Anolis sagrei: one gene and its partners. The protein of the gene in region 2 interacts with the protein of the main gene of each other region in a pairwise test. Links are inferred from orthologs where the notes say so. Each region holds a gene or a part of one and is shown on either strand. Other genes may lie near its edges. The genes, in order: IFFO1, LMNA, TMPO and zinc finger protein 397-like.

Region 1 (7,345 bases), on a different chromosome or scaffold from region 2:
GTGGCTTCCTCTCACATATTTATACATGGATATCATATCTCCTCTCAGCCTCCTCTTCTTCAGGCTAAACATGCCCAGTTCCCTAAGCCGCTCCTCATAGGGCTTGTTCTCCAGACCCTTGATCATTTTAGTTGCCCTCCTCTGGACACATTCCAGCTTGTCAATATCTCTCTTGAATTGTGGTGCCCAGAATTGGACACAGTATTCCAGATGTGGTCTAACCAATGTTGTCTCTCTCCTTCTCACTCTTAAGAGACACAAAGAGAGAGGGAGAGAGAGGCAATACTTCTCTGCAACCCTGTTCCCAGACCCATGAAGCCAGGTTTGTGATATTTGGACAGGTTCTGATTCAAGAAATGCAGTGCCCCTTTCCCTTCTGAGAAGGGAAGCTCTCCAGTCAGAAGCCCTGAGTTTAGGCTGAATTTGCCCCTTTCTGGATTGTTGTGAGTTTTCCGGGCTCTATGGCCATGTTCCAGAAGCATTATCTCTTGATATTTCACCCATATCTATGGAAGGCATCCTCAGAGGTTGTGAGGTCTGTTAGAAACTAGGCACATGAGGTTTATATATCTGTGGAATGTCCAGGGTGAGAGAAAGAACTGCTTGAGGCAAGTGTGAATGTTGCAACTGGCCACCTTGATTAGTGTTTAATGGCCTTGCAGCTTCAAAGCCTGGCTGGTAACTGCCTGGGGGATCCTTTGTTGAGAGGTGTTATCTAGCCCTGATTGTTTCTTGTCTGGAATTCCTCTGTTTTTTTTGTTTTGTTTTGGGGTTTTTTTTAGTGTTGCACTTTATTCACTGTCCTGATTTTAGAGTTTTTCAATACTAGTAGCCAGATTTTGTTGATTTTCATGATTCCCTCCTTTCAATTGAAATTGTCTACATGCTTGTGGATTTCAGTAGCTTCTGTGTGCAGTCTGACATGGTGGTTGTGAGAGTGGTCCAGCATTTCTGTGTTCTCAAATAATATGCTGTGTCCAGGTTGGGTCATCAGGAGCTCTGCTATAGCTGACTTCTCTGGATGAAATAGTCTGCAGTGCCTTTCATGTTCTTTGATTTGTGTTTGGGCAATGCTGTGTTTGGTAGTCCCTATGTAGACTTGTCCACAGCTGCATGGACATTATAGGGATATATAAATCTCACTGGCCTAGTTTTCAACAGACCTCACAACCTCTGAGGATGCCTGCCATAGATGTGGGCGAAACGTTAGGAGAGAATACTTCTGGAAAATGGCCATGCAGCCCAGAAAACTCACAGCAGCACAGTGATGCTTGTGGATTTAAATGTCTTTTCTGTATAGTCCAACATGGTGGTTGTTAGAGTGATCCAGTTGTTAAAGATGCCCATTTCTTTTTCTCAGGCCAGATCTTTCAAAAAGTTTTCCCTTTTGGCCCCCCTTTTGACATTTCAAAATGACCTTAAGCTTAAGCAGATGAAAGGGAAAAGGAAAGGGCCCGAGGCTGTTAGGAATGGTGGGAGTTGAGGTCCAAAACACCTGGAGGGCCCAAGTTGGCCCATGCATGAGCTATCCCCGCCTACTAATTTGCATATGGGTTCTGATTGGCCAGCCTCTAACATTCTTAAGTGGCTGAGGGCCTGAGGCCCTTAGGAATGGTGGGAGTTGATGTCCAAAACACCTGGAGGGCCCAAGTTCGCCCATGCATGAGCGATCTCCACATACTAATTTGCATATGGGTTCTGATTGGCCAGCCTCAACATTCTAACATTCTTAAGTGGCTGAGGGGATGAAGATGTTAAGAATGGTGGGAGTTGGAGTTCCAAAACACCTGTAGGGCCCAAGTTGGCCCGTGCATGAGCGATCTCCACCTACTAATTTGCATATGGGTTCTGATTGGCCAGCCTCTAACATTCTTAAGTCTCTAAGGGCCTGAGGCTCTTAGGAATGGTGGGAGTTGACGTCCAAAACACCGTGAGGACCCAAGTTGGCCCGTGCATGAGCGATCTCCACCTATTAATTTGCATATGGGTTCTGATTGGCCAGCCTCAACATTCTAACATTCTTAACCGGCTGAGCACCTGAGGCTGTGAGGAATGATGGGAGCTGCAGTCCAAAACACCAAGCCTGCCCAGGCCTGAGCCTAGCTCCCTTCCTGTGCCCCGGATGCCACCCCTTCCAATCCCTCTCTTCCGTTCTCACCGTCGCTTGTACTCGTCGCGCTCGCGCTTGACTTTGGCCAGGACGTTGTAGAGGGCGCGGATTTCGGGGGTGATGGTGTCGATCTGGACGCCGACGCCGTCCGGGTGGAGCCAGGAGACGCCGGGCCCTTGCACCAGCGTGGTCTCCGGCCCGGGCCCCAGGCGCCGCGGCTGCGAGAAGGACCAGATGGTGCCCGGCAGGAAGCGCGTCGAGGCGGAGGAGGAGGAGGAGGAAGGCGAGGCGAGGCTGCTGGGCGCCAAGGGGGCTCCCGGGTGGCAGCCGGGGGAGGCCAAGCTCCGCGCGGGGTTGGGACTGGGGGAGCCCAGCACCCGCGGGGCGATGCTTCCCGCCAAGGGCAGCCCCAGCGGGCGGATGGGCCCCACGAAGCCCGTCTGGACGCCTTGGTCGCGCCGGGAGATGCTGGAGCGCCGCGCGCTGCCCCCTCCTCCTCCCCCTCCTCCGTTGCCTCCCCCTTCGAGGGCCTGTTGGAGCTGCTTCTCCAGCTGCCGGTTGCGGCGCTCCAGCTCGTGCACTTTGGCCAGGAAGCATCGGAAGCGCAGGTTGAGGGTCTTGAGCACGTTGATGTTGGAGCCCAGGTCGTTGCGGAGCGCCATGGCGGAAGAGGAGGAGGTGGTGGTGGTGGAGGAGAAAGGCTCCCCGAAGGCCGGGCCCCACTCTTCCTCCTCGTCCTCTTCCTCGCCCCTTCTCCCTCCGCCCGGGAAGAGCCCGAAAGGAGAGTCCTGCTCCGCCTGCGGCAGGAAGAAGAGGTTGGGCCCGAATAACGGGTTCATGGCTGCGGCGCCCGGCGGGGGGACTGCGGCGCCGGGCGGGATGGGGAGCCCAGGGGGCGTGGCCAGGACGCGGGGGCGCCCAATCCGGAGCCAGCTGCCTCCAAAGGGGCGGGGCATCCCGGGGAAAAGGGGGCGAGCGGGCGGGCGAGCGGTGCGGCTGCGGAGTGCGCGTGCGCACGGGGCTGGGTGGGAGCAACTGAGGTTCCCCATTGGGTCCACGACTGCATTGCTTACATCCCTTCTTGCTCTTCCTTTCTTCCTAGCTGTCAATATGGCCGTATAATCCACAATATCGGAGCCCCCGGTGGCGCAGTGGGTTAAACCCCTGTGCCGGCAGGACTGAAGACCGGCAGGTCGCAGGTTCGAATCCGGGGAGAGGCGGATGAGCTCCCTCTATCAGATCCAGCTCCTCATGCGGGGACATGAGAGAAGCCTCCCACAAGGATGATAAAAACATCAAATCAACCAGGCGTCCCCTGGGCAACGTCCTTGCAGACGGACAATTCTCTCACACCAGGAGCGACTTGCAGTCACTCCTGACACTACAAAAAAAAATTCCACATTATCAAAGCAGACAATCTATTATCTTCTTTGAGCTGGATTCAATGAGTCTGTGACAGAATGAAAATCATGCATTGCTGTTCATTCGTTCAGTCGTTTCCAACTCTTCGTGGCCTCATCGAACAGCCCACGCCAGAGCTCCCTGTCGGCCGTCACCACCCCTAGCTCCTTCAAGATCAATCTAGTCACTTCAAGGATGCCATCCATCCAACTTGCCTCTTCCTTTTTCCTTCTATTTTCCCCAGCATCATTGTCTTCTCTAAGCTTTCCTTTCTTGTCATAATACGGCCAAAATACTTCATCTTTGTCTCTACTATCCTTCCCTCCAATGAGCAGTCGGGCTTTATTTTCTGAAGTATGGACTGGTTGGATCTTCTGGCGGTCCAAAGGCGTAGTTCGCACCTTTATCAATCCACACATTGTCTTGCTAGAGAAAAGATAGGTCACACAGGTGATCAGTAAAACCAAGGTGTTTACGCTTTATTATGCAGAGCGACAGGCAAGTTTGACTTGGCCATGGTAGTCCATGCTCTTGTTACATCCCATATAGACTACTGCAATGCACTCTACATGGGGTTGCCTTTGAAGACTGTTCAGAAGCTTCAAATGGTCCAACGAACAGCAGTCAGGGAGCGTACAACTCCTCTGCTGTGCCAGCTCCACTAGCTGCCAGTTTACCACTGGGCACAATTCAAAGTGCTGGCTTTAGCCTGCAAAGGCCTACATGGGTTCGGTCCAACTTACATGTCCAAACACACCTCCCCTTATGACCTTAAGATTGTCTGTGGAGGCCCTGCTCTCGTTACCGCCTTCGTCACAAGTACATTTGGCGGAAACAAGAGACAGGGCCTTCTCGGTGGTGGCCCCTCGGCTATGGAATGCCCTCCCTATAGATATTAGATCGGCCACCCCCCTTTTAACATTCCGGAAAAAAGTCAAGGCATGGCTTATGAACAAGCATTTGTAAATGACTTCGTTTTTTAACGAGGATACACTATGAATTTATATTTTACTGATTTTTTTGGTTTTTATTATTTGTTATGTTTTTAATTGTATTTATGACATTGCAAGAATTGAATTTTTCCCTGATAACCACCTTGAGTCGCCTATGGACTGAGAAAGGCGGTATACAAATACAGTAAATAAATAAATAAAAGGTAAAGGCTTTCCCCTGACATTAAGTCTAGTCTTGTCCTACTCTGGGGATTGGTGTTCATTTCCATTTCTAAGCCAAAGAGCCAGCATTGTCCATAGACACCTCCAAGGTCATGTGGCCGGCATGACTGCATTGAGCGCCGTTACCTTCCTGCTGGACTGGTGCCTATTGATCTACTCACATTTGCATGTTTTCAAACTGCTAGGTTGGCAGAAGCTGGGGATGACAGCAGGAGCTCACACCACTCCCCAGATTAGAACCTGCAAACTTTCGGTTAGCAAGTAGAGCAGCTCAGCCGTTTAACCCACTGCACCACCAGGGGCTCCATATATACAGTCATGTGAGCATTGACTCACACAATGTCCTTTGAGGGAGATTCAAATGTTCTTTAGGTGTCCATTTGAATGACCTTCTTCCAGCAGCTCAGAAGCAGAAAATATACTAACGTGTCTTGGCAAGCTCCTGCACAGAGGAACCTAAAAATGTAACTGATGCCAAAACTCCCAGGCTCAGCTAGCCTCTCGGGTGTGTTGTGGGAGGGGGAGCAATTGAGGTCCTTTCTACCCTGGGTCCACTACTGCATTGCTTTCATCTCTTCTTTCTCTTCCTTCCATCATAGCTGTCGCTATGGCCATATAATCCATATTATTATCAAAGTAGATAATCCACATGATCTGCTTTGAACTGGATTAGATGAGCCTACACTGCCATATAATCCAGTTCAAAGCAAATAATCTGGATTTTATATGGCACCATAGAAGTGATTCGAATGTGGAAGGATGGGTGTTTGGTTTTTGTAATTCTTCATATATAATGCATATTGGGGGTGGCATTTCATGTGTGTGTGAATCATATCTATCTATCTATCTATCTATCTATCTATCTATGGCTGGATGGCTCTTTGTCAGGAGGACTTTGATTACGTTTTCTTGCCCTGATGAAGGGAGTTGGATTGGGTGGCCTTAAGTATTTTCTGTTGGTCATGGGGGTTCTGTGTGGGAAGTTTGCCCCGATTCTGTCGTTTGTGGGGTTCAGAATGCTCTTTGATTGTAGGTGAACTGTGAATCCCAGTGACTACAACTACCAAATGTCAAGGTCTATTTCCCCCAAACTCCATCTGTGTTCATATTTAGGCATATTGAGTGCTTGTGCCAAGTTTGGTCCAGATCCATCATTTTTTGAGTCCACAGTGCTCTCTGGATGTAGGTGAACTACAACTCCCAAACTCAAGTTCAATGCCCATCAAACCCTTCCAGTATTTTCTGTTGGTCATGGGAGTCCTGTGTGCCAAGTTTGGTTCACTTCCATCGTTGATGGAGTTCAGAATGCTCTTTGATTGTAGGTGAACTATAAATCCCAGCAACTATAACTCCCAAATGACAAAATCATAATTTTTTGAGTGATGGTTACTCCTTGTGTTGTAAGACATTTTGTTGCCAAATTTGGTGTGATTTCGTTCATTGGTTCTTTTGTTTTTAAGGTACTCATTATGCACAGAGCATTTTTATATATATAGATAGCAACTCAGCCCCGGTCCAGGGAGCCGTGGGTTAAACCCTTGTGCCAGCTGAATTGCCAGCTTCCCATGCACGAGAGAAGCCTCCCACAGGATGGTAGCACATCCGGGCATCCCTTGGGCAACGTCTCTGCAGGCGACCAATTTTCTCACACCAGAAACAACTTACAGTTTTCTCAAGTCGCTTCTGATATAATAAAACAAATCCCAGACCACATCAAGATCCTCTGAAGATGCCAGGCACAGATGCCAGGCAGAATGTTGGGAGAAAATTCCACTAGAACGTGGCCACACAGCCCAGAAACCACACAACACCCCTGCCAAAAGATCACCTTTAAAAAACGGTTGGATTTGAACATAAATCATTCTGGCTGATCTTGGAAGCCAAGCAGGGCCTGCTCTGGCTAGTACTTGGATGGGAATAACTCATAAATCCCAGCGTAGAAGCAAAACCACCTCTGAATATTCATTGCTTAAGAAAACCCTATTAAATTAATGTGGACAGGAGGCAGAAGGTACTTGCAGAGTGGGCAAGCTATAAGGGAATTGCGGATCTCCCACAGAAATCTCGCCAACGTGTGGAAACCTGGAACACAAGAGCTGCTCCAAGTAACTTTCTCCATATAAAAAGACTTTATGTATTAAAACGTTGGCCCACATACAACACTGACATAGCTATAGTGGCAGCTGCCCAGTGTTATGTAACAGCTGTGGAAAACATGAAAATCTGCCGGTAGGGATTTAGGACAGGAAAGGAATGTAAGTAAAACCTCACAATATGGTAAGGCTAACTTGGAAGACCATATATTATTAAATTATCATCTCAACCCATCACAGATGGGGATAATACAAGATCTGGGCTTTGCTGTTGTGTGCCTTCAAGTGTCATGACTTATTTCTAGTCAGGCCATAAACATCAACATGGGGCATACACAACTGCTGCATATCTATATAAATTAAAATGTAATGTTCATTTGTGGGATTAACATAACTCAGAAACCACTGGATGAATTGACATGAAATTTGGACACAAGACACCTATCAGGCCAACAAGTGACCATCACTTATAAAAACATTGAAAAACACAGAAGAGACTTTAAAAGCCAAAAACCAAAAAATACATTGCAACGCATACACAAAACCACATATATACGCATATACAC
Region 2 (7,964 bases):
CCACATGGCTTCCCGGCCACACCCTGAAAGGGCTGCCAAAATGGAGATGGAGGGAAAGGAAGCCTGGTTTCTCCGCAAGGTGCTGGGAAGGGGCCCCCAAAGGGCATCTAGTCCGACTCCATTGCAAAAAGTGCAGCAAAGGAGGGGAAGGGGTTCAACGGCCCTGCCTTGCTTCCTTCCCAGAAAGGGATCTCTGGCCTTCCTGGGAAGAATCCAAGGTTCCCCCAGCAAACTTAATAGGATTCCACCCCCCTCCATGTAATCATCATCATCATCATCATCACTATAATATAATTGACTGGTTGCTGATGACTCAATAAATAAATATCATTACTACGACTCTATATATCATTATATAGTATTGTTTTCTTTGCAACCTTTTTTCTCTGGAAGGAGACTAAAAGTGGCTATGCATATATTACTATTACTTGATTATTATATACCCCTTTCTCCACAATTTATTTCATTATTGATTATCATTTTATTCTATATTTATATTCACTCATTATTTTTATTTATTAGGTGATTATCTGTCACATTATAAATAACTAATAGTTTTATAATTGTTGGGTGGCTGTGAGGTGTAGGCCTTCCCTCCCTCCCTCCCTCCCTCCTTCCAGGTGTTTTGGACTCCAATTCCCAGCATTCCTGGCAGCCTCAGGCCCTTTCCTTTTTCCCCCCAAGGCATGCTGGGAGTTGGAGTCCCACTCTCCTGAGGGGAGGCCTCTGACCTGGCCTTGAGCTTCTTGTGCTCCTCGCAGGAGGAAGGAAAGAAGGAGGGAAGGAGAGAAGGAAGGAAAGGAGGGAGAGAAAGAGGGAAAGAAGAAGGGAAAGAAGGAGTGAAGGAGGGAAAGAAGGAAAGAAAGAAGGGTAGAGAAGGAAGAAGGTGGAAGAAAAGGAGGAAGGAGAGAAGGAGAGAAGGAAGGAAAGAAAGAAGGATAGAGAAGGAAGGAAGGAGAGAAGGGGGAGAGAAAGAGGGAAAGAAGAAAGGAAGGAGAGAAGGAAAGAAAGAAAGGTAGAGAAGGAGGGAAGGAGAGAAAGAAGGGTAGAGAAGGAAGGAGGGAAGGAGAGAAGGAAGGAAAGAAAGAAGGGTAGAGAAGGAAGGAAGGAGAGAAGGAGGGAGAGAAAGAAGGGAAAGAAGGAGGGAAGGAGAGGTGGAATGAAAGAGAGAGAGAGCAAAGGAAGGAAGGAAGAAAGGAAGGAAAGAGACGAGGAAGGATGGAACGAAAGAGCAAAGGAAGAAACTGGTAGAGAAAGACGAGGAAGGGAAAGAACAGGGAGGGAGGGAGGGAGGGAGGGAAGGAAGGAAGGAAGGAAGGAGAGAAAGAGGGAGGCAAGGTTGGCCACAGCAATGAGTGGCAGGGTAGGGCTAGTATAATATAAATAGCTTGTAATTCATATAATATAAGTATCTTCCCGATGAGGCCTAACAATAATAAATAGCATAACAATTCATAATTTATAATAAGATTCTAGGGCTGGCCTGCCTCCTTTGAGATCCACTTGGGGGGGCCTTCTTCCCTTGAGGGGGTTTGGGACTCCAACTCCCATCATTCCTGGCACCCTGGTGCCCTTTCCTTCCCCCCTCCCCCAAGGCATGTTGGGAGTTGGAGTGTCAAGCCAGTCAAGGGGAGGCCTGGCAATATGATTCTAGGGCTGGCCTGCCCCCTTTGACTCCAACTCCCATCATTCCTGGCACCCTGGCATCCTTTCCCCCTGAGGCCTGCTGGGAGTTGTAGTCCCCTGGCGAGAGGGTGTGTGTGGGGACCCCCGGGCCTTCTTCCCTTGAGGTGTTTTGGACTCCAATTCCCATCATCCCTGGCCTCCTTTCCCCTTTCCCCCTGAGGCCTGCTGGGAGTGGTAGTCCCACTCTCCTGAGGGGAGGGGGAAGGCCTGGCAAGGGGGCCTTCTTCCCTTGAGGTGTTGGGGACTCCAATTCCCATCATTCCTGGCATCCTGGCGCCCTTTCCTTTCCCCCCAAGGCATGCTGGGAGTTGTAGTCCCAAGCCATTCAAGGGGAGGCCTGGCAATATGATTCTAGGACTGGCCTCCCTCCTTCCTTTGAGATCCACTTGGGGGGGGCCTTCTTCCCTTGAGGTGTTGGGGACTCCAACTCCCATCATTCCTGGCACCCTGGCATCCTTTCCCCTTTCCCCCTGAGGCATGCTGGGAGTGGTAGTCCCAAGCAGGTCAAGGGGAGGCCTGGCAATATGATTCTAGGGCTGGCCTTCTTCCTTTGAGATCTACTTGGGGGGGGGGGAGCTTCTGACTCCAATTCCCATCATTCCTGGCACCCTGGGGCCCTTTCCTTTTCCCCTGAGGCATGCTGGGAGTTGTAGTCCCACTCTCCTGAGGGGGGGGAGGCCTGGCAAGGGGGCCTTCCCTTGAGGTGTTTTGGACTCCAATTCCCATCATCCCTGGCACCCTGGGGCCCTTTCCTTTCGCCCCTGAGGGGGGGGGCAGGCCTGGCAAGGGGGCCTTCTTCCCTTGAGGTGTTTGGGACTCCATTTCCCATCATTCCTGGCACCCTTTCCCCCTGAGGCCTGCTGGGAGTTGTAGTGTGGACACCCCCTGAGGGACGGACTGACCTGGCCTTGAGCTCCTTGTGCTCCTCGCGGGTCTTGGCGAGCTCGAGCTGGAGCCTGGCCCGCTCCTTGGCGACGGAGTCGAGGGTCTTTCGTGCGTCGGCCAGCTCGGCCTCGTAGGCGCCCTTGAGCCCGCTGACCTCGCGGCTGACCTCCTCCTCGGACTCGCAGATCCGGAGCCGCAGCCCCGCGTTCTCCGACTCCAGAGAGCGGACCTTGTCGATGTACACCGCCAGACGGTCGTTCAGCTCCTGCAGGTCCTCCTTCTCCTGCAGCCGCGTGATCCGAGCCGGGGACAGAGGGGTCCCCATGGAGGAAGAAGACGAGGAGGCCGAGGCCCCGGCTCCAGTGCTCCGCGTGCCGCGCTTCCCGCCCACCGAGGACTCCATCCTGACAGGAATGCCGCGGCTGAGGAGAGCAGCACGCCTTAAATAGCCTCGCCCACCCCCAGGCCACGCCCCCTCCTCACTCACTCCCTCCCACAACAAGGCCGCGCCTGCGCACAACACACGCCTCGCCTCAAGGCTCTCTATCCCAAATAGATTCGCCTCCCTGGCCACGCCCCCTCCTCTTCGCCACGCCCCCTCCTCTCTCCCTCCCTCTCTCCCACAACAAGGCAAGGCCGCGCCTGCGCACAACGCATGCCTCGCCTCAAGACTCTCTATCCCAGAGACTCCCTCCCTGGACACGCCCCCTCCTCTTCGCCACGCCCCCTCTCGGCCCACAACAAGGCCGCGCCTGCGCACAACGCACGCCTCGCCTCAAAGCTCAATATAAGACTCTCTCTCTCTCTCTCTCCCGCCTCCCTGGACACGCCCCCTCCCCTTCGCCACGCCCCCTGCTTCCTCCCTCCCTCAACAAGGCCGCGCCTGCGCACAACGCACGCCTCGCCTCAAGACTCCAGGCTCCATTTCTCCCAAAGAGACTCCCTCTCTGGACACGCCCCCTCTTCTTCGCCACGCCCCCTGCTTCCTCACTCCCTCCCACAACAAGGCCGCGCCTGCGCACAACGCACGCCTCGCCTCAAGACTCAATATAAGACTCTCTCTCTCCCGCCTCCCTGGACACGCCCCCTCCCCTTCGCCACGCCCCCTCCTCCCTCCCACAACAAGGCCGCGCCTGCGCACAAAATACACCTCGCCTTGCCTTAAGACTCAAGGCTCTCTATCTATCCCAAAAGGGACTCCCTCCCTGGACACGCCCCCTTCTCTTCGCCACGCCCCCTGATTCCTCCCTCCCACCCTCCCACAACAAGGCCGCGCCTGCGCACAACGCACGCCTCGCCTCAAGACTCCAGGCTCTCAATTTCTCCCAAAGAGACTCCCTCTCTGGACACGCCCCCTCCTCCTCGCCACGCCCCCTTCTCCCTCCCACAGCAAGGCCGCGCCTGCGCACAACACACGCCTCGCCTCAAGGCTCAATATAAGACTCTCTCTCTGGGCCAAATAGACTCGCCTCCCTGGACACGCCCCCTCCTTCTCGCCACGCCCCCTCCTCCCTCCCACCCTCCCACAATAAGGCCGCGCCTGCGCACAACGCACGCCTCGCCTCAAGACTCCAGGCTCTCCATCTCCCCCAAATAGACACGCCTTCCTGGCCACGCCCCCTGCTTCTTGCCACGCCCCCTGCTTCCTCCCTCCCGCTCACAGCAAGGCCGCGCCTGCGCACAACATACACCTCGCCCTGCCTTGGAGTCAAGACTCTCTACCTCTCCCAGGCCTGGGCCAACTTGGGCCCTCCCTCCCTCCCTCCCTCCCTCCCTCCTTCCCCGTGTTCTGGACTTCAACTCCCACCATTCCCAGCAGCCTACCGGGTTGGGACCCAGCTGCATTAAAATCACGACTGAGTTCAAAGCCAGCCCAGGTTGGAGTAAGCTCCCGACCATTGGTCTAGCTTGCTGTCCACCTTTGCAGCCCCAAAGACAGTTGCCTCTGTCAAGTAGGAAATTTAGGTACTGCTTATGCAGGGAGGCTAATTGAACTAATTTTCTTGTTGTTCATTTGATCAGTTGTTGCAACTGTCAAGTAGGAAATTTAGGCTAATTTAACTAATTTATAATGCCCTAAAACTCTCCAGCAACATGCAAAGGAATGAGGAAGTACTCCATCAGTGTCACAAGTGGATGTTGAAGTGACAGCTCCCCTTTGAAGCCCAAAAGACAGTTGCCTCTGTCAAGTAGGAAATTTAGGTACCACTTATGCGGGGAGGCTAATTGAACTAATTGATAAATATTTTTTTTGTTGTTGTTTATTCGTTCAGTCGTTTCCAACTCTTTGTGACCTCAGGGACCAGCCAACATCAGAGTGCCCCGTCGGCCGTCACCTCCCCCAGCTCCTTCAAGGTCAATCCAGTCAATCTAGGAATTGTGGGAGTTGGAGTCCACAACACCAGGCCTGCTCTCTCCACATCCCTCCACCCATCTCTCTAGGCATTGTCCAGTGATCATAAACACCACCATAAGGAAACACTCTACATTGTGGTGCAGTTTGGAAGAGGATGGACCATGGACGATGGGACTTGCAGTACCTTCACTGCCTGAGACCATTACAGCCCACACCAATGACTGATCAAGACTAAACTGGACGCACAGAGCCTCCATGACCCACTCTACATCCTGGTGAAGTTTGGAGGAGGATGGATCATGGACGATGGGATTTGCAGTACCTTCACTCATTTCCTGAGACCACTATGACCACCAGGAATGATGGATCAAGAGCAAACTTGGCACACAGAGTCCCCATGACCCACTCTACATACTGGTGCAGTTTGGAGGAGGATGACCATGGATGATGGGACTTGCAGTACCTTCACTGCCTGAGACTATTACAGCCCACACCAATGACTGATCAAGACCAAACTTGTCAGCCCCCGTGACCCAATCTACATCCTGGTGCAGTTTGGAGGAGGATGGATCATGGACGATGGGACTTGCAGTACCTTCACTCACTTCCTGAGACCACTGCAACCCACACCAATGACGGATCACGACGAAACTTGGAACACAGAGCCCCCGTGACCCATTCCACATCTTGGTGCACTTTAGAGGAGGATGACCATGGATGATGGGACTTGCATATGGGAGTTGTAGTTCACCAGCACCCACTGTGCATCCTTGTGCATCAATCTGCCCATGTTTATGTACCTCACTCTCTGTCATCTTGATGCCAAGGGCACCCCAGCCCCCTGCTTTCAAGCTCATCTGACCAGCCGCAGGGGGTTCCGCAGTTCCTTGGATGCTCCATTGGGCAAGCGCTGATGAAATATGCCCCAGCAGCAGCCTAAACCAGTGACTCTTTGCAACCTTGAGCTCTCTCCTTTCGTTTCTTTCCCCTGCCCAAACATTGTAACTAAACCCTTAATAAAGACTAATTGAATTGTAACCTTCACCTCTTCGTAGTGATACATTGTGTCCCATTCCTGACTCACAAGTATGTAATGCATGAATTCAACCTTTTCCGGGGTGTGGGAAGCCACTGGCCCGCCTGGGATGCCTTCTAGGCATCCCAAGGAAGCCGAAACTGCGTTTCTTCAAACCGCGGATACGGATACACCTCGGGACCCCGTATCCGCGAGTTGACGGATTGACTCACCGCCTGGGATGCCTTCCAGGCGTCCCAGGGAGGGCGAAACTGCGTTTCTTCAAACCGCGGATACGAAAACCCCTCGGGGCCCCGTATCCGTGGGTGGACGGATCGACTCTCCAACGTAGCGATCCCCTGCCCAAACATTGTAACTAAACCCTTAATAAAGACTCACTGAATTGTAACCTTCACCTCTTTGTAGTGATACATTGTGTCCCATTCCTGACTCACCAGTATGTAATGCATGAATTCAACCTTTTCCGGGGCACGGGAAGCCGCTGGCCTGCCTGGGATGCCGAAACTGCGTTCCTTCAAACCGCGGATACGGAAACTCCTCGGGCCCCCATATCCGCGAGTTGACGGATTGACTCGCCAAAGTAGCAATCCCTCTTTGGTGGGGCCGCAGGGTCTCTCCTCTGACTAGACCCTTTCAAATTCCCTATCGACTTCAATCTATCTGTCTGTTCATCCACTTACCTACCTACCCATTCATCCCTCCATCTATCTATCTATCTATCTATCTATCTATCACACAAGGAATCTCAAAAGTACTGTATAGGAACGAGAACTAGGAAGACACTGGGGAAGACAAGAGCCAGGCGCAGGCCGGAGACCCCACCCGACACTCTTTGACTGTTTAATGGGTTGCTGTGGGTTTCCGGGCCCTGTTCCAGTGTCCGTCTTTCCTGACGTTTTGCCTGCACCTGTGGCTACGGACCCCCTCAGAGGATTCTTCAGAGCGCCTTGGAGAGCCCAGTGCCGGGCTGTTTCCCATTTGCAAACGAGAGGCTTCCCAGGAGACCAAACAGGCCTCAAGCTGGACGCAGGGAGGAAAACCCAGACCGGTTTCCCGGCAGTGAGTCACTCCCGTCGCCACGGCAACAGAGGCACACATACATGCCACACGCACATATACACACAGACAGCTTTTTTACAGGAGCCAGTAATCTAATATCTGGCCCGCATCACGGCAGGAATGAGTCACGGCTGGATGGGGAGGGAGAGCGGAGGCCAGTCTCTTCCCCTCTTTCTCTCAAGGGGGGGGGGAAGCCCCCAGGCGGCGGGGGAATCCGGCTCAGGAGCCCAGAACACATTTGGGGGAGCTCCCCCCCCCATAACGCCTTGGGGGCCTGCCTGGGAGGGAAGACCTTCAGGACCGGCAGGCTGGGGATCAACACCCAGGGTCTCTCTCTCTATCATCTATCTTTCCATCTGTCCGTCATATCTCTGGCCATCAATCTACGGCTGGGTGGCCATCTGTTGAGAGGAGTTTGATGGTGTCTTCCTTGATGGCAGAAGGGGGTCGGACTGGATGGCCCTTGGGGATCCCTTCCAACTCTAGCATTCTAGAATTGATCTTTCTCTCTCTCAATCATCTCTCTCCCTCTCCACATGTCAGTCATCTCCATGGCTGGATGGCCATCTGTCAGGAGGGGTTTGATGGTGTCATCCTTGATGGCAGAAGGGGGCTGGGCTGGATGACTCTGGAGGGTCCCTTCCAATTCGATGATCTCTCTTTCTCTCTTAATCATCTATCCCTTTCTCCATCTGTCAGTCATATCTCTGGCCATCAATCTATGGCTAGGTGGCCATCTGTTGAGAGGAGTTTGATGATGTCTTTCTTGATGGCAGAAAGGGGCCGGACTGGATGGCCCTTGGGGATCCCTTCCAACTCCAGCATTCCATGATATACTCTCTCTCTCTCTCTCTCTCAATCATCTATCTCTTTCTCCATCTGTCAGCCATATCTCTGGCCATCAATCTACAGCTGAGTGGCCATCTGTTGGGAGGGATTAGA
Region 3 (8,010 bases), on a different chromosome or scaffold from region 2:
AACCATATTGTGCCTTTTAAATTTAGAAGTATTTCAAATTGATTTTTTTCATGCCAGGAACGACTTGAGAAACAGCAAGACGCTTCTGGTGTGAGAGAATTGGGCATCTGCAAGGACGTTGCCCAGGGGACGCCTGAATATTTGGTGTTTTATCATCCTTGCGGGAGGCATCACTCAGCATGGGGAGCTGGAGCTGATAAAGGGAGCTCAACCTGCTCTCTCTGGATTCGAACTGCTGACCTATTGGTCAACAGTCCTGCCAGCACAAGGTTTTAACCCAGTGGTTCTCAACCTGTGGGTCCCCAGATGTTTTGGCCTCCAACTCCCAGAAATCCTAACAGCTGGTAAACCAGCTGTGGTTTCTGGGAGTTGAAGGCCAAAACCACTGGGGGCTCCTTCAGATGGATTGAAACATAATTTAAGCGTGTTTTAAAGGAGTTATATAGAGACAGGATGCCATTTATGCACCCATAGAGAGAACAGCAAAAGAGGAGCTTGAAAGAAGTAGGTATGTTGTTGTGCATCCTCAATCACTTCCCAATTATTCCTAGGGCTGTGAGTGTGTGACTTGCTCAAGGTCACTCAGTGGGTTTCTAAAAAGGCGCAGGCAGTCGAAACTGGCTTCCAGAGTTGCTCACAGCACTACAGCAAGGTACTGGAAGCAATCTCCACTCCTGCCTAACAGGGAATGCATCACACTGCAGAAAAAATTGAGAGCACTTTAACTGCTATGGAATCCTGGGAGTTGCCGTTTGGTGAGGTCCCCACTCTTGGGCTGAGAAAGATAAAGCTATTGTAAAACTACAATCTCCATTATTTCATAACATTGAGCCACTCTACAGCAAGCATGCCCTAGTACTGATCAGGCATGGGCAAACTTTGGCTGGAATTGTGGGAGTTGGAAGTCCAAAACACCTGGAGGGTTAAAGTGTGCCCATGCCTGGTGTTGATGCACTTGGTGTTTCAGATCCGCAACGCGAGCCGCCTCCTGACAGGCTTTCCCCAGCAGCGCAAGGATCCAAGGCGAGCCTGTCTCCCAGGCGGAGGGCCAAAGGATTTCCTAGGGCTGAGAGTGTGTGATTCGCTTAAGGTCACCTGGTGGGTTTATAAAGCAGAGGAGACAAAGTCTGGCCTCCAGAATTACTCACAGTACAATAACAGGGTACTTGGAAGCAATCCCCACTCCTGACAAATAAGGAGTGCATCACACTGCAGAAAAAATGCAATTTGAGACCACTTTAACTGCTATGGAATCCTGGGAGTTGCCATTTGGTGAGGTGCCTACATTCTTGGCCTGAGAAGACTACAAACCTACTGTTTTCATAACACTGAGCCACTCTAAAGCAGGCATGGGCAAACTTTGGTGCTCCGGGTGTTTTGGACTTCAACTCCCACAAATTCTTAACAGCCGGTAGGTAAGCTTTTAGGAATTTGTGGGAGTTTCAGTGCAAAACACCTGGAGGACTGAAGTTTGCCCATGCCTGCTCTATAGTGTGGATCAGGCATGGACAAACTTTGGCTGGAATTGTGGGAGTTGGAAGTAGATTTACTCGGGAGGTCTCCTGAGGCTGGCGAGACTATCGCTCGGGCAGAAGGCCAAGGGCAGCACGCCTTCCTGCAGATTTGCAGAAGTGAAACTGCCTGACGCTGGCTGGCAGGACGCCCACCAAGTTCAACGTTTCTGAGCGGGACTTGTGGACACGCCTGTAAGAGGAGGAGGAGGAGGCAGGCAGCGAGTGGAGGACCCACCATCTTCATTGACCGTTTAATGCTGCTTCAAACACTTATTGAAGAAAGTGGCTTCTGTGTGCACAGGTGGAAACCCTGGGACCAACTTGAGGCCCTGATGCAGATCAGGCATGGGCCAACTTGGGCCTTCCCTCCAGGTGTTTTGGACTTCCATTCCCATCATTCCTAACAGCCTCAGGCCCCTTCTTTTTCCCCCTCAGTCGCTTAAGCGGCTGAGGGGGGAAAAGAAGGGGCGTGAGGCTGTTAGGAATGATGGGAGTGGAAGTCCGGCTTAGGGGAAAAAAGAAGGGGCGTGAGGCTGTTAGGAATGATGGGAGTGGAAGTCCGGCTGAGGGAGAAAAAGAAGGGGCCTGAGGCTGTTAGGAATGATGGGAATGGAAGTCCAAAACACCTGAAGGGAGGGCCCAAGTATGAGCTATCTCGACCTACTAATTTGTGTGTGGCTTCTGATTGGCCAGCCTCAACATTCCAAAGCGGCTGAGGGGGGAAAGGAAGGGGCCTGAGGCTGTTAGGAATGGTGGGAGTTGGAGTACAAAACACCCCAAGTTGGCCCATGTCTGCAATATCCCAAACCGCAGAGGCACACGAAGGGCTTTTCTTCCGCGCGCTTTTGTGGGAGTTTGAAAGGCATTAAACGGTGCCTCCCGAGTGAGGCTGAGGGAGGCCCTTCCTCTTCCCTTGCCTTCCCCTCAAGTGACCAAACATGGCGCCGCCCCCTCTGTGAGAAAAGCGGGAAAACTCCGCCGCCCCCTCAGCGCTTGGGGAAGGAAGGGGGGCTCCGGGGAAAGCGGGAGGTGGGGGTCGCTTCTTACCCGGCCTGCGGAGGCTGCAGCCGCGCCCCCTCCTCCTCCTCCTCTGTTCCTGGCGGCCGGGGCGCGCTCCCGCTCCTCGTCGCTGGAGAAGTCTGGCTGAGCGGGGGGCCCCGGGGCGTTGCGGGCGGTGAGGTGCTGGAGGTAGAGCTGCACATAGACGTCCTTGCGCTGCTCTCCGCCGGGGAGACTCACGTTGTTGGCGATCAGCTCGCTCTTGAGCTTCTCCTTGGTGAGCACCGACGGGTCGCTCAGGAACTCGGGCATCGTCAGGCTCGGAGAGAGAAGGGCCCGCCAACAAAGAGTGCACCCAGGGAGGGAGGGAGGGAGAGACAGGAAGAGAGGAGGGGCGGAAGGAGAGAAAGGAAACCTCGCGAAGGGTCGGCCCCCCTCGCCTAACGCTCACACAGAACACACAACGGACGGCTTCGCCTGCCCGCCAATAACGTGCGCCGCGATTGGCTGCCGCGCGCGAGAAGCGGCCCTGGGATTGGTTGCGTCGCCGAGAGGAGAGCCGCTCGCCTTGTTTGTGTGTGCGCGCGCGCGCACTGGGCCGCGTCACAATCAATCCGTACCTTGCGCGAGCTCTGGTCACGCAGTTTTAAATTCGACTCAGGCGGGAGAGGAAGAGGCGCCCCGGGCAACCACCACCACCACCACCACAACAGCCTCCCTCAAGGCTCCAAAGCGGGAGTGGGTGCTCGGCCGGGGAGGACCCTTTTTCATTGATGTTAAAAGAGGGTTTTTAAGCGCAATTAATCTCTCGCCACAAAGGACAATAACAAAACAAAAGCGCGCTATGGAAGAGACAAAACGCACACGTGTTATGTGAAAAACTCCCGTGGATATTATCCACTTCGCCTAATGCGCACTTCTGAGAGGGAAATCAACCCAGATACAAGTTGAGCAGCCTTTATCCGTACTCCGTCTACATGGATGGCTGACACTTCTGCTTTCTGATGGTTCAGTGAACACAAACCTAACCAAAGCTAAGCTAACCAGACCTAACCCAAGCTAAGCTAACCAAAGCTAACCTAAAACATAACCAAAGCTACGCTAACCTAACCAAAGCTAACCTAACTTAACCAAAGCTAACCTAACAAATTGAGCAGCCTTTATCCGTACTCCGTCTACATGGATGGCTGACACTTCTGCTTTCTTATGGTTCAGTGAACACAAGAATTGTTTCATGCACAAAATTATTTAAAATATGTATAAAATTCATTTGTTCAGTCGTTTCCGACTATTCATGACTTCATGGACCAGCCCATGCCAGAGCTCCCTGTTGGCTGTCACCACCCCCAGCTCCTTCAAGGTCAATCCAGTCACTTCAAGGATACTATCCATCCATCTTGCCCTTGGTCGGCCCCTCTTCCTTTTTCCTTCCATTTTCCCCAGCTTCATTGTCTTCTCTAAGCTTTCCTTCCTTCTCATGATGTGGCCAAAGTACTTCATCTTGGCCTCTACTATTCTTCCCTCCAATGAGCAGTCAGGCTTTATTTCTTGAAGTATGGACTGGTTGGAGCTTCTCGCAGTCTAAGGCACTCTCAGAACTTTTCTCCAACACCACAGTTCAAAAGCATCTATCTTCCTTTGCTCAGCCTTCCTTATGGTCCAGCTCTCACATCCGTAGCTTACTACGGGGAATACCATGGTTTTAACTATGCAGATCTTTGTTGCCAATGTGATGTCACTACTCTTCACTATTTTATCAAGATTGGACATTGCTCTCCTCCCAAGAAGTAAGTGTCTCCTGATTTCCTGGCTGCAGTCTGCGTCTGCAGTAATCTTTGCACCTAGAAATACAAAGTCTGTCACTGCCTCCACATTTTCTTCCTCTATTTCCCAGTTGTCAATCATTCTTGTTGCCATCATCTTGGGTTTTTTTATGTTTAACTGCAACCCAGCTTTTGCACTTTCTTCTTTCACCTTGATTAGAAGGCTCCTCGGCTCCTTCTCGCTTTCGGCTATCAAAGTGGTGTCATCTGCATAATGTATAAAATTACCTTTAGGCTAATGGTTGAACAGAAGCTCTCTGAAGTTTTAGGTCAGTGTTTCTCAACCTTCCTAATGCCACGACCCCTTAATAGAGTTCCTCATGTTGTGGTGATCCCCAACCATAAAATTATTGTCATTGCTACTTCATAACAGAATTCTAAGGGAGGCAACCACAGGATTTCAGATGGGATGCATACTCTGCCTGCTCCAGTGTTTCTCGACCTTCCTAATAGATTTATCTCAACAAAATATACATGTGCTATGACTAAATTGAGATTATCTACTTCTCTTTTTGAAAATATTGACCACTCAAGAGGTTCATTAAGATGCAACCCCTTAATACAGTTCATCTTGTTGTGGTGACCCACAACCACAACATCATTTTAGTTGCAACTTCATAACTACTTTTGCTACTGTTATGAATTGTAATGTAAATATCTGTTATGCAGAATGTATTTTCATTCACTGAACCAAGTTTGACACAAATACCCAGTATGCCCATATTTGAAAACTGGTGGGGTTTGATTTTGTCAGTTGGGAGTTGCAATTGCTGGGATTTATAATTAACCTACAATCAAAGAGCATTCTGAACTCCACCAACAATGGAATGAAACAATCTTGGCACACAGAACTCCTATGACCAACAGAAAATATTGGAAGGATTTGGTGGGCATTGACCTTGAGTTTTGGAATTGTAGTTCACCTACATCCAGAGAGCACTGTGGACTCAAACAATGCTAGACCTGGACCGAACTTGGCACAAATACTCAATATGCCAAAATGTGAACACTAGCGGAGATGGGGAAAAGAGACATTTGGGAGTTGTAGTTGCTGGGTTTTATAGTTCACCTACAATCAAAGAGCATTCTGAACTCCACCAACGATAGAATTGGGACAAACTTCCTCCACAGAACTCCCATGCCTTGAAGAGACTTGCTGGTGCAAGCCTCCCTCCAGCCTCGAACGCTCTCCCTCATCCACAGTGCACACCACGCTGCCATGTGCTGAGAACGCCTGCTTTCCCCTCCCCTGCTTGTAGTCTCAGAAACAGCCCTCCCCTTGGCTGAGAGGCCAGTCAATCACAGGAGAGGGCTTTTGGTGGAAGGATTCCCCGGCTTTTTCTAGAAAGGAAGAAAAGGACAGGCGGAGAGATCTTCAGCCTTCTCTGCCAAAGGGGTTTCTAAGACCATCAGAAATATATGTTTTCTTCCTAAAAAAGAGGACTGGTTGAAGAAAGTTTTGGAGGTAATGAACATGGACAAGTTTACTTACTGGATTACTCCCAACCAAGGACTTCCAAACAAACAAATAAACTGGGGCCTGGTTAAAAACTACTTTAAGCAATTAAATATTGACTTAATATGACTAAAATAATACTCACAAGAAGATTAAAAATTACAGGGATGCTTAGACTGATTTTGCATTTTGCCCGTTCGGAAGGCTAACTATTACAATTCTACAGCCACCGAAGAATAGAAGGAAGTCAAACCATTTATGTAACCTTTTTTCTTACTTTATTTTCTTTTTTTCCTTCTTTAATCATTCTCTTTACCAATTTCTCTCTTTTTCTAAGCTTTTCTATCCAAAAATTGTTCTCACTTTTGATGTTCCATTCTTTACTTACCTATGATATAATTCAATAAAAAGCTTTTTTAAAAAAAAAAAAAAAGAAATATATGTTTTCTGATGGTGTCTTGCAACCCCTCTGAAACCTCCTCACAACCCCCCCAGGGGTCCTGACCTTCAGGTTGAGAAACGCTGCACTACTGAAACAGTACTGGACTGTTTTCTGATAGTCTTTGGCAACCCCCAGGTTGAAAAACACTGCTTTAAGTGCTCTTACTGCCTATTATTGGGAAAACCAGCTGATTCCTTATCCATCTAAAATGCAGACGTGTGCTTTTCACCTTAAGAACAGACAAGCATCTCGAGCCCTGAGGATTACCTGGGAAGGAATCCCACTGGAGCATTGCAGCACACCAAAATACCTGGGAGTCACTCTGGACTGTGCTCTAACCTACAAGAAGCACTGATTGGCTATAAAAAAAGTGGGTGAGAGAAATAATATTATATGAAAGCTGACTGACACAACCTGTGGATCACAACCAGACAGAGTGAAGACATCTGCCCTTGCGCTTTGCTACTCTGCTGATGAATATGCATGCCAGTGTGGAAAACATCTCACCACATTAAAACAGTGGATGTGGCTCTTAATGAGACATGCCGCATTATCACAGTGAAGTGGATGATCTTTTTCCTAGGCTGCAAATCGGCGGGCGCAGGAACAACAAGACAGGCAGTCAGGTTCTTTCAAGAAAGCAGTTTACTTAGAAGTCAAGCAGCTGCCTGGGTCGCCTCCTACGCAACATGGCGCCTGGTGGAAACGATACAGGCCTCAAGCCATGTGGCCTTTTTATACAGTCAAAGGGGTTCGGTTTAGGACCGCCCCGGAACAAAATCATTGGTTCAAAGTTGTGGTGCAGTTTAATAAACATCCAATCATCCCCTGCCACCCAAACATCCAATCACCACCTGCCACCCTTGCCAAGCCCCTCCCTAACCCCATACTGCCCCCTATCCCATGAGTACTGGTAACTTCCCCAACTTCCATTTTGTAGTTCCACCTTATTCCCCCCCCTTTTTTTTTCAAAAACCCGTCCGACCTCGGAAGTCCAATTTTCTAGGGAAATTGGAAAAGCTTCCAGTAGACCACAATGAAATATCAAACAACCATCTTAACAATTCTACAAATGTGAAAATGACATTATCATTTGAGTAAAACAATATAAACATTTTATGGATCCCTCCAAGTCTTACTGGGTTGAAACATAGCAACTTTTTCCACCGTTGGGGTCTGAATCATATACTTGGTACACATTTGCATAACTATGGGAGAACAACATAGTACGATGAAAAATACAAACAAGCCTAGCATAAAAATCATCAATATTTCTTTTATCCATGTTCCTGAGGGCAACCAATCGGTTAACCACGAGAAGGGGGACCATCTCAGATCTTCTTTTACATTGTCATTTATTAAGTTGTGTAACGTTTCAAGATCATCCTTAATGGTAGAGTTCAGGTTATGGAACCTAACTATGCACTGGGGCCCCACCATCTTACAGAAACCTCCTTTTGCAGCCAGCAAATAGTCTAGAGCTACCTTTTGCTGCATAATCATCTGGCTTAACTCTTCAACTTCAGTCTGTAAGGCCCTTACAATCTCCCCAGTGGCGTTCACACTCTTCTCCAATCTACAGGTGAGGCCTAAAATACTCCTCCTATTTTCCTGAGAGATGATCCCTGGATAGGACCCGAGCGTCAGAGTCCCAGTGAGTAATCCTCCAATCACCCTTGCCCCCTCTGAGTAGGACAAACCTTGTCCTATTATAACCTCGTCCGAGCACCCTGCCCCTAGGGGCCCTGTTTGGTAAGTTGTCCTCTTTTTCCGTGC
Region 4 (7,557 bases), on a different chromosome or scaffold from region 2:
ATTGTACACCGCCATGAGTCGCCCTAATGGGCTGAGAATGGCGGTTAATAAGTGCATCAAATAAATAAATAAATAAATAAATAAATAAATAAATAATTTATATTACTTGATAAGGTAAAGGTTTCCCCTGACATTAAATCTAGTTGTGTCTGACTGGGGGGGGGGGGGGTGCTCATCTCCATTTCAGAGCCAAAGAGCCGGCGTTGTCCATAGACACCTCCAAGATCATGTGGCCAGCACGACTGCATGGTGTACCGTTACCTTTCTGCAGAAGAAGTACCTATTGATCTACTAGTGTTTGCATGTTTTCAAACTGCTAGGTTGGCAAGAGTTGGACTGGCAGCGGGAGCTCACCCAACTCTCTTGATTTGAACCATCAACCTTTCAAGTCAGCAAGTTCAGCAGCTCAGTGGTTAAACCCGCTGTGGCACCGGCGACCCATATTTCTTGGTACCCCATCACATATCCATGGAGAAATATTTTAGTATATTTTAGATACCATTTCTTGTCTTTCTATCTCTGAACATGACAAGTGTTCATCTCATCTATTTACATGATTGCACAGTGCAATACAAAGAGGCCCAGCAGGCATGAGAGGGCTTCACCTCTGATATCAAAAGTGTTCATTTCAATTAAATGTAAGTGAGCCTCCATCTTTGGAGTCAGTCTACTTACTGCAGGCCTGAACCTGGGAGGAGGGGTGCGGTCCTTCCGAGCCTCACGGGAGCGGTTCCTCACCACCTTGCTGTGGATGGCACAGCTCACGCAATAGTGAAGCTTCACATAGAGCTTGGGCAACACATAGGCTGGGAAAAGAGGGACAAACAGCAGGGTCAGAACTACAGTCATTTCAGAAAGGTCCAAGTCAGCCAGGCACTTCCAGCAACGCCTCTATGTCTCCCTGTGGGTGAAAAACTTTCCAAAGGAAAATGATTTGTAAGAAAACACTTTTAATTGTTCCCCGGAGTTTAAAATCATATACAGCCTTCAGGTTTATTCAGGCAAAAACAACACATGGTGAACATCCAACTTGTTTCAGTTAGCAATCCGTGACAGATGGATCTACTCTTTTTCCACACAAAGACTTTTTCTTTTCAGTTATGGTGGTTAAATAACATGTCTTGACAAGATATCTAATCACACTATTCATTTACTTATTCTGACGAATTTTGCAAGCCATCTACAGCTTGGGACTTGCCTCCCACTTAGGTTTATTTATGTTATTTGCTCTTAAATTTTCAGGGCCTGGGGAGGGGGCGGGGAAACCTTGCAAAACTGTCCCCTGGAAGATATTGGAGAATTGTTCAAAAATGGAGCTGAGGTAAGAGGCCACAGAGCCTTGCCACTCTAGCAGCTCCTCTGTACAGTCCCACAACATCATCCTTTAATTTTGTATCTCATCACTTACAGAATGGTAAAATAAAACATGTGTGGTGGCAGAAAGTACTTACAGTCAAAGACGCTTGCTTCGGAGATGTCTCTGACAGCAGCTGCCTCTACAATGTTTCGGATGACAAACTTCTTAATAGCCTTATCCTTGGGGACACAGCGGGCACAGTTGGTACAACGAATAGGCTGGACATGCCCACGGCCCTTCTTGGCGCGGCCGTTGTTCCTTCTCTTCTTCGTCTGTTGAAACAGAAAAGAAAACATTAATAGGTGCCCATATCCTTCCCTGAGATCACATATGACTAATGTAAGCAAACTATCGGGCAAACAAGAGTGGAACCTATGCTGAAGTAAGTAGCCTCGGTTATCTTGCATAGGTTATGTATATAGCATTCATCCTTGTTGTTCTGTACCTTCAATATATGGCAACCCCTTATCATTGGGTTTTCTTAGCAGGATTTGTTTAAAGAAGGTGTTCCATTGCCTTCCTTTGAGGCCAAGTATGACTTGCACAATATCATGTAGTGGACTTCTGCACTAAGATGGTTGCTCAAGTTACCCAAATTCCAAAGTAATTCAAAACTCCATGTTCAATACATCTCTAGACTACAAAAAGACTAGAATCACCATAATCCCTTACTTGTGAGCTTCTGGATAAGAGCACCAGTTTCTCACAACATCTATGAGGGCAACTAGTCTAATAGCATGTAAAAGGAGGCCTGATACAGTCATGATAGTTGGATGGGGCCTCAGGGCTGTGATCTGATATTAGACAGAAGTAATAAGGCCAAACTACTATTTCTTGAAATGACTGTTCAATTTCATGGCCCTTACTTAAGTTTGATCTAGCAAGGCTTTCCTATATCCCAGCTAACGAGAGAGGACTTAGAAGATGCATATGCTTCATTTTTTAGTTAAACAGCAGCTCCACTAAAGTTATTTCCTGTTTTCAACAGGGGATTTTTTCTTTAAAAATTTAAGAAAAGGCTGGACTAGATGAGACAATAGGACAATGGCAGATGCATAGCACTATTTTATGTACTTATGCAACTCAACATTAGTTACAAATTTGAACTAAAGGCAATTCTGAGCCTTTGACAGAACAGCAATCTCAAAGTATCCAGCCAACCAATCCATTTATTTATTTTCCACCCTGGAGGGGACTCACATATAAGGCACAATTCGATGCCACACAAAAATACGTACAACAAAAATAAAAATATACACTAATACCACTAAAAACATCTCAAACATTAAAGCCAATTATTAAAATCATGTAATCCAACATCATAGTCCGAGACCATTCCAGCTGTCATTGCACCATTCTGCATTCACCTATTGCACTGAGATTAATGTCTGAAAGCTTGGTTCCACATCCATGTTTTTAGTTTTCTGAACACTGGGAGGGGGCTGAACTGCACTAATTAGGGAGGGAGTACCACAAGTGAGGGGCCACCACTGAGAAGACCCTGTCTCTCATCCCCACCAATCGCACCTGTGAAGGAGGAGGGACCAAGAGCAGGGCCTCCCCACAAGATCTTAACCTCTGAGATGGTTCATAGGGGGAGAAACGTTTGGACAGGTTAGCTGGGCCGGAACCATTTAGGGCTTTGTAATCTAGATATACGTTTTGTTCAACAACAACTGTTCTATTTCTTGCCTTTAAAGCCTTTACTAAGGCCTTGCATTCATTTTCAATTTGACTTAACAGTTAAACAGGTATTTGGCTGCCTTGTTTCATTGAAGTGAGGCATGACCAAACCCCCCTCCCATTTCCCTGCTCACACTCTCTCCAGATTGGCTCAGTCTCAGGTGTCGTCATGTATCCATGGGGGCACCTTCACTGTGGAATTATTTATTTATTTATTTGCGATACTTATAGCCCGCCTTTCTCAGCCATACGGCGACTCAAGGCGGGTTACAGATCGGCACAGCTCAGTCTCAGGCATTCATAAAAGTGCCATTAAAAACGATCAACATTACAATATAAAACATATAAAAACCATTAAAGCATATAATCATCGGTGTCATCCTGTTAAAAACATTATCCAGAAACATCGTCTGGCCACTCCATGTTCATCATTCATAGTTCTGTGTTATCCATTCCACTGCATTCTCAAAAGCTTGCTCAGAGTCAGGTCTTTCCTTTTTTCTTTTTTGGAAAATCATGAGGGAAGGAGCTGATCTAATATCTCTGGGGAGGGAGTTCCATAGCTGGGGGGCCACCACTGAGGAAGCTGTCCTTCGTCTCTGCCAATCGCACATGCAAGGCAGGCGGGAGCGAGAGCAGTGTTTGACACCACTTTAACCTGGTTCAATGCTATGGAATCCTGGGAGTTAATAGTTGGGGAGACACCAGCCCTCTTTGGCAGAGAAGGCTAAAGCCCTTGTAAAACTACAACTCCCAAGATCCCATAGCACTGAGCCATGGTAGTTAAAGCGGGGGTCAAACTGCATTAACTCTACGGTAAAGGCGTATTTTTAAAAAACCACACAGAATGTATATCTCGTTAATCAAAGTGGCAATCACCAGAGGGCCTACAAGCAAGTTGTTGCGAACACAAACAGGCACCACAACGGCGAACAGCGCTTTTTATTATTTCCTCTTGAAATTGGGCCCGAACGAGGCCTCGCGTTCTCAGACGTCACTTCCTCCCGGTCGGGAGGCCTAGAGAGAGCGCGAGGCGTGAAACTTCCGCCTGCTGGGAGCCTCGCGCCTCAACAGAACGGGGGCCCAGCTACCGTATTCTAACGGGGGAAGGGGAGAGCGTACCATTTCCAAGGGGGGGGGGGGATGGCTCACTTGGAAGATTCGCAAGGAATCTGTTACAAGGAGATGGTAGGCCATGGCTATTGTATTCACCCACCCCAAAACCCCAGCTTACACGGATACCCTCAAAGATGACCGCAGCTCGTGTTAATTATTCCTATCCCAAAGCCCCCCCCCCCTTCTTTTTTGCCGAGCCTTCTGCTGTCCCCTAATAATCCCAAGGCCTGCTCCCAGTGGCGCGTGCGCTACCCACCATTTCGACGCTGAGGAGGCGAAAGAGGGTCCGGCTTCCCCTCCGCCGCCCTTATATGCGCTCCCTCCGCAGGACGGAAGTGCTTCGCCCACACTTTCCTTCTACAACGCGAAGGGAGAAATAATCCCGAAGGGAAAGAAAACGCCCTTCACGCCACACTGACCGAAAAGGGAATTCAATCTCACTTCCACCCCGGTAAGTTTTAACCCCTGCAATGTTTTTGGACGGGACTATTTTTCCTCCTCTCTGGAGCGGAAGGTTATTCTCAAGAAAGACGTAATTCTCCCACAATGCATCAGCGGCGGATGCCCCACGGCTTCTCTTGGAGAGATGCATGCTGGGAGTTGTAGTTTTGCCCAGTTTTATTCTAAAACTAGCTGTACCCGCCACGCGTTGCTGTAGCCAACCTTCCCTCCTTCCTTCTCTTCCATTTCCCTTCTCTCTCCCCCCCCCCTTTTTCTTTCCCTTTTGCTTTCTCTCCTTTCTTCTCTACCAATTTTTGGACTGCAACTCCCAGCAGTCCTCCTGATCGATCTATCTATCTATCTATCTATCTATCTATCTATCTATCTATCTATCTATCTATCTATCTATCTATCTATCTATCTAATCTGTCTTATCTGGAGGACTGCTGGGAGTTGCAGTACAGGAATAGGAATTTGGAAATATGTAGGGATTGGGATGCTCTCAAAGAAATCCAAGAAGAAAGCTTGTAGCTTGGAAGCAGTGCATTTGGATCATCCTCCTCCCCTAAAGAGCCTGGTCTAGGGGGTGCTGGGAGCTGTAGTCCAAAAGAGAGTGTGGATATGCGATTGTCATCACCATCATCATTTAATTATTTATTAATCGCCCTCCATCCAAGATGCTCTAGACGATTTACAAGCTAAAATTGTAAAGGATAAAAATACATACATACAGATATTGATAAAAGATCAAAAGCTCTAGTAAAAAGCCAGGTCTTGAGTGCTAGGGTAAAAGGCCCTAACTCACGCATGGCTCTCATATAGGGTGGCAAGGAACTCCATAAGGCAGGGGCAGAAATAGAAAAAGCTCTGCGTCTGGTCCTTTCCAAGTGCACTTCTCTAGGACCCGGTATATAAAGTAAGTCACTTTGGGATGGTCGTTGCGACCTCCGATGATGGGAGAATGAGAGACGGTCCCTAAGATACGATGGACCCTGGCCGTAAAGAATTTTAAAGGTCAGAACTAGCATCTTATATAGACCACGGTAATCAGTTGGAAGCCAGTGCAAATGCCGCAACACTGGTGTTATATGGCATTTCATGGATGTTCTTGTGAGTGTTTTGTTTTCCAGGGGAAGTCGTTTTGTGCATGTGCTGTTGCGTCTTTTTGCTTTTTTGGCTTTTTAAGTCCCTCCCATTGTGTTTTTACGAGTGATGGTGACTCGCTGGCCTGATAGGTGTATAGTGTCCAAATTTGATGTCAATTCATCCAGTGGTTTTTGAGATATTAATCCCACAAACGAACATTACATTTTTATTTAGATTGGGAAAGGCATATGGCAGGTTTGTATACTCTCACCCAACCTATTCAATTTGTATGCAGAACACATGCGATGTGCAGGGCTTGTCGAATGCAAGGCAGGGGTTAAAATTGCTGGATGAAACATTAACAACCTTAGATATGCAGATGATACCACTTTGATGGCCAAAAGCAAAGAGGAGCTGAGGAACCTTATTACCAAGGTGCAAGAAGAAAGTACAAAAGCTGGGTTGCAGTTAAACGTAACCCCCCCCCCCCCCAAGATTCTGGCAACCTACGGATGTGAGAGCTGGACCATAAGGAAGACAGAACGAAGGAAGATGGATGCTTTTAAACTGTGGTGCCAGCTGAACTGCTGACCTGAAGGGTGGTGGTTCAAATCCGCAAGACAGGATGAGCTCCCGTCTGTCAGCTCCATCTTCCCATACAAGGATATGAGAGAAGCCTCCCACAGGATGGTAACACATCCAGGCATCCCCTGGGCAACATCTTTGCAGACAGCCAATTTTCAAGTCACTTCTGACACAATAAAAAAACCCTATTGCATGGCTGCTGAGAATGGGTTCTGGTGTAGGCATAATTCAAGATTCTTTATATATCCATTAGCCAAGATGCACAGCTGTTTATCCCATTATGGGTTGCTTTGGATATTACGGTAAGTGTCCACAATAAGATTTTAAAGGGGCAGCACCACAGGATGACCCAGACCAATTTAGCATGACACCCCCCCCCCCCCCACCAATACTAGTATTTCATAGAAGATATTAACTCTGTGTTGCATGTACAAACTTGAACAACTTTGAGTTTCTTTCCTGCACAGTGATGTGATCTCCTGTTATCTTGATTGTTGACCGTGAAGTCTGGGCAGGACAGGGACTGTGGTCAGCCTGAATCCAGCTTTGGGGGGGGGGGGGGAGCACCAAATCACTGGAATGCTCTACCAGAAGCGATTAGACCTGCCTCCACCCTCATGTCTTTTAGGAAAATTTTGAAGACTTTCCTGTTTGGAATAGCTTTTAACTGATTTGTGGCAGAAGCCTGGGATTTGCATGTTATAATTATATTTTATCTCCTTGGGGAATTTTTAGAATGTTTTTGCTTATTTTATGATAGTTTTTATGTCTTACGAGGAAGATTATATAAACTATTCGGGGCTAGTTTTAATGGTCTCTGTTCTATTGTATGTTTTGATGCTATTGTAAACCGCCTTGAGTCCATTGGGGAAAGGTGATACAGAAAATTCCCAAATAAATAACTAAATAAATAAATGTGATGTATCAATAAAATTAACAAGAACTGCAACCACTGTATTACAACACAACCAGGAAACTCCAGGGGACCTTAAAAACTCAAAACTATGTTTAACCCTGTGTCATGTTTCAAATAATCATGGAAATTGTGTCTTAGATGTTGCCTTATTGTGGCATACTCACAATATTGTGTATTGGGAAATATTGGTATTTGGAAAATATTGGTTTTTGTACTCTGGTTTCCAGAATTCCCCAGCTACCAATTCTTTTAGCTTCCTCTCACATATTTATGCATGGCTATCATGTCTCCTCTCAGCCTTCTCTTCTTCAGGCTAAACATGCCCAGCTCTTTAAGCTGCTCCTCATAGGGATTATTCTCCAGACCCTTGATA

The links.
Region 1: the proteins of LMNA (region 2) and IFFO1 interact in binary tests that used the Homo sapiens proteins (3 or more experiments, as listed by UniProt). The link is inferred for Anolis sagrei from reciprocal best matches to the Homo sapiens genes LMNA and IFFO1.
Region 3: the proteins of LMNA (region 2) and TMPO interact in a two-hybrid assay, tested with the Homo sapiens proteins (2 studies listed by BioGRID, with this or other methods). The link is inferred for Anolis sagrei from reciprocal best matches to the Homo sapiens genes LMNA and TMPO.
Region 4: the proteins of LMNA (region 2) and zinc finger protein 397-like interact in binary tests that used the Homo sapiens proteins (3 or more experiments, as listed by UniProt). The link is inferred for Anolis sagrei from reciprocal best matches to the Homo sapiens genes LMNA and ZSCAN12.

The regions. Positions count from the first base shown.
Region 1 is NC_090022.1:197,318,767-197,326,111, forward strand, and holds the start of IFFO1 (non-homologous end joining factor IFFO1), read right to left. Parts: upstream 3,001-7,345; 5' UTR 2,950-3,000; coding exon 2,159-2,949; intron 1-2,158. UniProt on the Homo sapiens protein: Nuclear matrix protein involved in the immobilization of broken DNA ends and the suppression of chromosome translocation during DNA double-strand breaks (DSBs).
Region 2 is NC_090032.1:22,671,899-22,679,862, reverse strand, and holds the start of LMNA (lamin), read right to left. Parts: upstream 3,005-7,964; 5' UTR 2,975-3,004; coding exon 2,589-2,974; intron 1-2,588.
Region 3 is NC_090025.1:156,775,846-156,783,855, reverse strand, and holds the start of TMPO (thymopoietin), read right to left. Parts: upstream 3,011-8,010; 5' UTR 2,826-3,010; coding exon 2,562-2,825; intron 1-2,561. UniProt on the Homo sapiens protein: May help direct the assembly of the nuclear lamina and thereby help maintain the structural organization of the nuclear envelope. Possible receptor for attachment of lamin filaments to the inner nuclear membrane.
Region 4 is NC_090022.1:146,674,408-146,681,964, reverse strand, and holds the start of zinc finger protein 397-like, read left to right. Parts: upstream 1-4,541; 5' UTR 4,542-4,607; intron 4,608-7,557. Other genes in the region: RPS26 (small ribosomal subunit protein eS26), read right to left, coding at 676-806, 1,452-1,629, 4,413-4,415. UniProt on the Homo sapiens protein: May be involved in transcriptional regulation.